Macaca fascicularis: one gene and its partner. The protein of the gene in region 2 purifies or fractionates together with the protein of the main gene of each other region. This does not show direct contact. Links are inferred from orthologs where the notes say so. Each region holds a gene or a part of one and is shown on either strand. Other genes may lie near its edges.

Evidence for each region.
Region 1: the proteins of CCT4 (region 2) and TLE2 purify together in Homo sapiens (affinity purification with mass spectrometry; 3 studies listed by BioGRID and IntAct, with this or other methods). This does not show direct contact. The link is inferred for Macaca fascicularis from reciprocal best matches to the Homo sapiens genes CCT4 and TLE2.

Annotation. Positions count from the first base shown.
Region 1 is NC_088393.1:3,729,585-3,733,882, forward strand, and holds the start of TLE2 (transducin-like enhancer protein 2), read right to left. Parts: upstream 2,955-4,298; 5' UTR 2,827-2,954; intron 2,559-2,826; exon of another isoform or gene 2,228-2,558; 5' UTR 2,191-2,227; coding exon 2,167-2,190; intron 2,090-2,166; coding exon 1,992-2,089; intron 1,678-1,991; coding exon 1,614-1,677; intron 1,164-1,613; coding exon 1,119-1,163; intron 1-1,118.
Region 2 is NC_088387.1:60,032,382-60,036,187, reverse strand, and holds part of CCT4 (T-complex protein 1 subunit delta), read right to left. Parts: intron 2,995-3,806; coding exon 2,942-2,994; intron 1,182-2,941; coding exon 1,092-1,181; intron 1-1,091. UniProt on the Homo sapiens protein: Component of the chaperonin-containing T-complex (TRiC), a molecular chaperone complex that assists the folding of actin, tubulin and other proteins upon ATP hydrolysis.

The DNA of each region.
Region 1 (4,298 bases), on a different chromosome or scaffold from region 2:
CAGAACCCTGAGGTCAATCTCAGAACCCTAGGTCTATCTCAGAACCTTGAGTTCTATCTCAGAACCCTGAGGTCTATCTCTGAACATTGAGGTCAATCTCTGAACCCTGAGGTCAATCTCAGAACCCTAGGTCTATCTCAGAACCTTGAGTTCTATCTCAGAACCCTGAGGTCTATCTCTGAACATTGAGGTCAATCTCTGAACCTTGAGGTCTATCTCTGAACCCTGAGGTCCATCTCAGAACCCGAAGTCAATTTCAGAAATTTGAGTCCATCTCAGAACCCTGAGGTCAATCTCAGAACCCTAGGTCTATCTCAGAACCTTGAGGTCTATCTCTGAACCTTGAGGTCAATCTCTGAATCTTGAGGTCTATCTCAGAACCCTCAGGTCAATTTCAGAAATTTGAGTCTATCTCAGAACCCTGAGGTCAATCTCAGAACCTTGAGGTCTATCTCAGAACCTTGAGGTCTACCTCAGAACCTTGGATCACACTGAGAAGCTCTGGAAGAGGCTCAGAGCCTTATGGCACTGGGGTCAGTCTCAAAGCCCTGAAGATAGCCACAGAGTTTTGAGGTCTGTCTTGGAAAAGTGGGGTCACAGTCTGAACCATGGCATCAAATTCAGGGCCTGGAGAACAATCTCGGAACCTTAGCCAATCACACTGAGACCAATCTCAGAAGCTTCAAAGCAGGAACAGAACCTGGAGTCCATCTCAAAACTTCAGACTCTCTGGGCTGAAAAGGACCTCGAAGAGTGTTCATCCAGCCCCCTCCCGGGACAGAAGTCACCTCCACAGCCTCCCTGGCCTGGCTGCCCTGCCTCTGCTATGTGCCCTCCTTGATGGGGATGCCTGGTGGCCCCTGCCCGCTGCCTGCCTCTCTGCTGGACGCTTCAACTGCTGGCTACTGTCTTCAGAAGTTGGGACTCATTTTCCTTCCATGAGGCTGAAATTTGCCTTCCTGGTCCCAGATAGGCCCTCTGTGACCTCTGAGGAGATTTCAGGATGAGACCCGTGTTCCCTAGGTCTGCTCTGGCCCCGGCTGCCCATACTGGGTCCCTCCCAGGGCTTCCAGACCCCCATCCTCCCTCCTGAACACGCTTAACACCAACCCAGTTACCTGCTTATGCATTTCAATGTTGAGACCATAAGACATCTCATAATACTGAAAAGGAAAAACCAAGTAAGAACCTCTGCAGTGGAGATGGGTGCCCTCCTCCAGTCAGGTGATGCCAGGGTCTTCCAAGAGCCCCCCAGGTTCGGGGGATCACAGCAGGACGCAGAGCACCCCCAGCTCCACGGGGTCTCAGAAGAGAAGCCCAGAGGAGAAAGCCGGGGTTCTGCCTGGAAGGGCCCCCTCTACTCTCCCCAGACAGGCAGGGCAGGTAGGAAGCGTCCAGAGGCCCTGGCCCCACCAGGCGAGAGGTCCTCCCTGTCTCCCTGTTCCCAGAGCTGGGTGGACCCTCCGAGAGAGAGACCCTGAAATCCCAAAGCCGCCCAATGTACAGACAGGAAAGACGAGGCTCGGAGAAGGGCAGGGACCTACCCCAGAGTCCACCGTGGCTCAAAGCCCTGCCCGCCTCTCCCCGCACCCTGGCATCATAAGTGCCCTCACCATGACATAATGTCGCTGCATTTCCGTCTTCTCACTGGCCAGCTTCTCACATTCTAGCTTGAGGCTGGGAAGGAGAGAGAGGGCAAGGGGCTCCCAACCGCCCCATGTGGGCCGGCTTCCAAAGTGAGGGGCTGGATCTCCCCCTCCCGACTTCCTTACAGACCTCCCAGCACCTCCTGTCCCAGTCCCTCCCCGCCCCTTCCTGGGCTCCCAATGCCCCAGCTCTGACTGTCCCCAGACCCCTCTGCACCTGCGCTTTCACCTGGAGGCCTTTCCCGCGCCCTGGGAGCCCCTCCTCCCCGCCCTGCTCCCCGGAGGCCCCGCCCCGCCCCGGCGCCCAGGTGAACTCCCGCGGCCCCTGGGGCGGCCCCCCCTCACCTGTGGTACTGAGCCTGGAGAAACTGGAATTCTTCTTTGATGCGGTCGCAGATCTCCAAGATAGAGAACTTGAAGGGCTGGCCGGACTGGAGCGGGGTCTGGGGGGGTTTGGGGAGGGACGTCAGGGTCTGAGTTCCAGGACACCGGGGACCCCCTCTCCGCAGCCCCCACTCACCGGGTGCCTTCCCTGGGGGTACATCCTGCCGATCCCGGAAGCCCTCCAAGCGCCACCAGAGCTTGATGATATGGAGGCGGCAAGAGTGGGGGAGGCTGAAGTGGGGTGGGGGGGAGGCTGCCCGAAGAAAGAGGGAGGAGGGAGAGGCGGCGCGGGGCAAGGGACCCTGGAGTCCCTGGCGCGCCCCCAAGCGCGCGCGCCCGGGGTCGTGGGAGCCCCTCCCCGGGCCGGGGCGCGCGGGGCGGGCGGGAGCAGCGGACGGGGCGGGGGCGCGGCGAGGGCGGCCGCGGCAGCCGGCGCAGAAGGTCGGGCGCGCCGCGGCCGGGTTTCGGCGGCGGCGGCGCGGGCGGCGGGCCCCGCGCGGAGCCGCCTCCCTCCGGCGGGGCTCGGCCGGGAGCCGCAGGCTGAGCCGCCTTAAGGTGGCGCGGCCGCCCCCACGCACCCGCGGCCCGCCCCGCGCCCACCCCCGCGCGCGCCGCCCCTCCCTGCGCCCGCGCGTCCGGGTCCCCGGGCACCCGCCCCCTTCCTTCAGTCCCTGGGCCTGTGGGGAAACTGAGGCCGAGTGGGGAGGCGCCCAGTGCCGCAAAACGGGGTCCCCACCCCCTCCCGGAGGGGCGGGAGGAGAAACACCAGTGAAGAAATTCACATGGTGTTACCCACCGTTGGGGGGGCTTGCGGAGGGCGGGGGCCCCTCTGGAGTCGGAAATAGCTTTTCTGAGCAAGTGACATTGGGCTGAGATGGAAGGGTCAGGACGACGCAGCCTTGCCAAGCGCTCGCAGGAAGCCCTGCCAGGAAGGGAATCTCACAGCAAACACTGCTTCCCAGATCAGGCGGGGCCCTCACCCTCTGGGGGCCTCAGTAGTCTCTGCAAAAGGTCAGGGATGGTGCGCGATCTTTAGTGTTTAATTTTTTGCAGAGACAGGGTCTCACTATGTTGCCCAGGCTGGAGTACAGTGGGGCGATCATGGCTCACCGCAGCCTCGAACTCCTGGGCTCAAGCGATCCTTCCCCCTCAGCTTCTCGAGTAGCTGGGACTACAGGTGTGCACCACCATGCCCAGCTAATTTTACAATTTTTTGCAGAGATGACCAGGAGCGTCTCACTATGTTGCCCAGGCTGGTCTTGAACTCCTGGACTCATTCCTCTCTCTTCCGCCTTCCAAAGTGCTGGGATTACAGGCGGGAGCCACGGCACTAGGTACTACACTTAAATGAAATGGTGCATGAACGCCCTCAGCATTTCCCTACACAGAGCAAACTTCCACAGATAGGAATTGTATTCCTACTGCCATCACCAGTGGACTGCGCTGTCTCCCTTCTCACACTGGGTTTCTTGAAGGCAGGGGCCATGTCCCACTTAGAACTGGAAGAACCACAGCTCTGCCATCAGACTCAAGTCTCACCCAGGGCAAAGGCTCCAGCCCCGACCAGAAACCACAGACATCCAGCCAGCATCCTTCAGGCCCACCTGGGGAGTGGGAAGCTCTTATTCTCTCTGGAGAAACCTCAGGAGAGGTTCGTTAAGTCAATCAACAAACATGTACTGAGTGCATACTGTGGACCACACACTGCAGTAGACACTGGGGCACAGCTGGAAACAGAACAGAGAAAAATCCATGCCCCTTGATCATGCTTGGACCTGTGCCCTTAGATGAACGAATACCTAAGGTACCTAAGGGTTAGGGTTACAAAAACCCATTTTGTAATGGGCACAAGAGCCTTATCAATGGGCCAGGTCAATGGGCCAGGAGTGGTGGGTCATGCCTGTAGCCCCAGCACTTTGGGAAGCTGAGGAGGGAGGATCGTGTGAGCCCAGGAGTTCAAGACCAGTGTGGACAACGCAGCGACAATACAAAATAAATGTTTGCATTTTTTGTATCTCTACCAAAAAAATGAAAAAATAATTAGCCAGGCATGGTGGTGCACACCTGTGGTCCCAGCTAGTTGGGGGGCTGAGGCGGGAGATACCTGAGCCCCAGGAGGTCGAGGCTGCGATGAGTAGAGATCACGTCACTGCACTCCAGCCTGGGTGACAGAACACGACCTTGTCTCAAAAAAAAAAAAAAAAAAAGCCCTTATCAAATTTAAAGCCATCGTTTTCCAGCCCACAGATATTTACGGAGCACCTACGA
Region 2 (3,806 bases):
GAGAGGAAAAATACTCATTTCCATGGACAAGTATAAGGTGACTTGTGTTTTTTTTTTTTTTTGAGACAGGGTCTCACTTTGTCATCCAGGCTGGAGTGCAGTGGCCCAATCACAGCTCACTACAACCTCTGCCCCTGGACTCAAGTGATTCTCCCACCTCAGCCTCCCAAGTAGCTGAGACCACAGGTGCACACCACCACACCCAGGTATTATTTTTTGTGTTTTCAGTAGAGACAAGGTCTCACCATGTTGGCCAAGCTGGTCTCAAACTCCTGAGCTCAAGCAATCCTCCCACCTTGGCTTCCCAAAGTGCCAGGATTACAGGTGTGAGCCACTGTGCCCAGCTGTTTTTTTTTTTTCCTGGGGTTTCACTCTGTCACCCAGAATGGAGTGTGGTGGTGTGATTATAGCTCACTGCAGCCACAAACTCTTGAGCTCCAACAATCCTCCCATGTCAGCCTAAGGAGTGGCTGGGACTAAAGGTATGCACCACCATGCCTGGCTTGATTTGTGTTTTATCATCACCTCACATCAAAAAGCACAATGTTAGGCACAAGGCGTAAACCTGGGAGGCGGAGCTTGCAGTGAGCTGAGATCCGGCCACTGCACCCCAGCCTGGGCGACAGAGCAAGACTCCGTCTCAAAAAAAAAAAAAAAAAGTATCCTAAAAATATGCCTGTTTAGCACAAAAAGTGTTCATTGTGCTTAAATACGTGATCAAATAAATAAATTTAACTGTTTACCAAATATCAAATACACTTAAAAAAGACTCACCTAGCCAGGCACAGTGGCTCATGCCTATAATCCCAGCACGTGGGAGGCCGAAGCAGGTGGATCATAAGGTCAGGAATTTGAGACCAGCCTGACCAACATGGCGAAACCCGTCTCTACTAAAAATATAAAAACTAGCCAGGCGTGGTGGTGCATACCTGTAATCCCAGCTACTCAGCAGGCTAAGGCAGGAGAACTGCTTGAATTCAGGAGGTGGAGGCCGCAGTGGGTCGAGACTGCACCATGGCATTCCAGCCTGGGTGACAGAGCAAGACTCCGTCTCAAAAAAAAAAAAAAGACTCACCTAAAATTATACTTACCATTCTGGCTGCTGGATGTAACACTTGCATTTGTTTCAGAATGGTAGCACCATCATTTGTAATGGTTACATCACCTTTTCCATCTTGAATCTAGAAAATTTTAAAGTTGTATTTCAGTATGACACCTTAACAGTTTCATTAAACTTTTATATTTCAAAATAGAGAAGTTAATTTCCGTTTGCAAAGTACTGAATTTTAAATTATCTTCCCTTACATTAGCATAATAATTTAAGAATGTGCAATAACAGGCTGGGCACGATGGCTCATGCCTGTAATCCCAGAACTTTGGGAGGCCGAGGCAAGCTGATCACCTGAAGTGGAGAGTTCAAGACCAGTCTGACCCATGGAGAAACCCCATCTCTACTGAAAATACAGAATTAGCCGGGCGTAGTGGCACATGCCTATAATTCCAGCTACTAGGGAGGCTGAGGCAGGAGAATCGCTTGAACCTGGGAGGCGGGGGTTGCGGTGAGCCAAGATCATGCCATTGCCTGGACAACAAGGGCGAAACTTCGTCTCAAAAAAAAAAAAAAAAAAAAAGAATACGCACAACAGTCCAACTTTACAAAAGAAAAAAGTGCCTTTGTTGCAGGGTAATCTAAAAGTGAAGAAACGCAGACACACAAAAAAGAAAAAAAGGAAAAATATTATAAAGAAGCACTTGCTATCTTTAATAATTTCTTATTAATCAGAAGCATGATTTCCACCATGGATGCCCTAAAGGAGTACCATGCAATGCGGTGAACACAATTCTTATAATCAACACAGTAACTTTTTTCTTTTTTTGTCCTACAAAAAGGACAACAGCATTTTTGGGAAGGAAAGATTTTCAAACATCCAGAGAGGAGAATAACCTGTAGTATCATCCAGATGATCCTCCATTATTGTTTTACCCCCAGAGACCCACATTAGAATACAAAGTTACATCCATAAGGAATACTAAACTGAAGTCCCAACACTTGGATTTATAATACTTTCCACTTAACTAAATAATAGATACCTATGTTTGGGTATCTATTGGGTATCATCGTTTAAAAAGCATTAAACAAAGTATGAATTATAGTTTAGTCCTGTTGACTCCAAAGTAATCTCTCCTTCCTCTAAACTCCAGGTACCCTACACTTTTTACTATTTTTTTGGTTTTGGTTTGAGATGGAGTCTTGCTCAGTCACCCAGGCTGGAGTGCAGCTGTGCAATCTCGGCTCACTGCAACCTCTGCCTCCTGGGTTCAAGTGATTCTCCTGCCTCAGCCTCCCACCTCCTGAGTAACTGGGACTACAGGTGCTCACCACCATGCCTGGCTAATTTTTGTATTTTTAGTAGAGACTGGGTTTCACCATATTGGCCAGGCTGGTCTCAAACTCTTGACCCTGTGATCCACCCACCTCGGCCTCCCAAAGTGCTAGGATTACAGGTATGATACACTGTGCCTCACTCACTTTCTACTATTTTTATTTATTTATTTATTTTTTGAGACGGAGTTTTGCTCTTATTGCCCAGGCTACAGCGCAATGGCGTAATCTCGGCTCACCACAACCTCTGCCTCCCAGGTTCAAGCAATTCTCCTGCCTCAGCCTCCCGAGGAGCTGGGATTACGGGCATGAGCCAACATGCCTGGCTAATTTTGCATTTTTAGTAGAGACAGGGTTTCTCCATGTTGGTCAGGATGGTCTTGAACTCCTGACCTCAGGTGATTCACCCCTCAGCCTCCCTAAGTACTGGGATTACAGGTGTGAGCCACCACACCCAGCCCCATCTTTTACTTTTTAAACAGCACATCTAACCCTCCATCAAGGTCTTGCAGTGTGAACAGCAGTGCTCAATTAGTACTCAATGACTCAACTCTTTACCATTTTATCCATTCCTTTTGGTCCAAGGCTTGTTCTAATAGCATCAGCAACCGCTGCAGATGGAAAAAAAAAAGAAAAGAAAAGAAATTAGAACTTTTTTTTTAAGAGACAGGGTCTTACTATATTGCCCAGGGTGGCCTCAAACTCCTTGGCTCAAGCAACCCTCCCACCTCAGCCTCCCAGAATAGCTGGAGGTACGGGAAATCAAGACTCCTTAAAGAGAGGTTTTTCCTTGCAAATGATCATTGTGTTCTTATTAGGATATGGTGCATAACAAATCACGGTGTCCACAGAAGAAAATTCATTGTCTAAAAATAATCTATTGGAAACAGAGTAATTAAAATAATTATTTTAAATGTATGATGCTTCACTTTTTTGTTAGTCAACGTACACAGTATTATTATTTTGAGACAGGGTCTCACTCTGTCTGTCACAAGGCTAGAGTGCAGTGGTGCGATCTCAGCTCACTGCAACCTCCGCCTCTTGAGTTCAAGTGATTCTCCTGCCTCAGCCTCTCGAGTAGCTGCCACCACGCCCAGCTATTTTTTTGTATTTTTAGTAGAGACGGGGTTTCACTATGTTGGCCAGGATGGTCTCGATCTTTTGACCTCCATCTGCCTGCCTCGGCCTCCCAAAATGCTGGGATTACAGGTGTGAGCTACCGCGCCTGGCCTAATATTTGTAATCAGCTTATGGCAGAATACATTTTGAGGATTCATCTCATCTTCCTTCAGATGTCAAAATGGTACAATCTAGTTAGGAGCTCTGAGAATTGCTATTTCCTCCATTCCTTAAAACAGGGCAAGCAGCAACAGAACTGTCTAGATCTAACATACTGATGGATGAGTATCCTTTTTCCAAAATG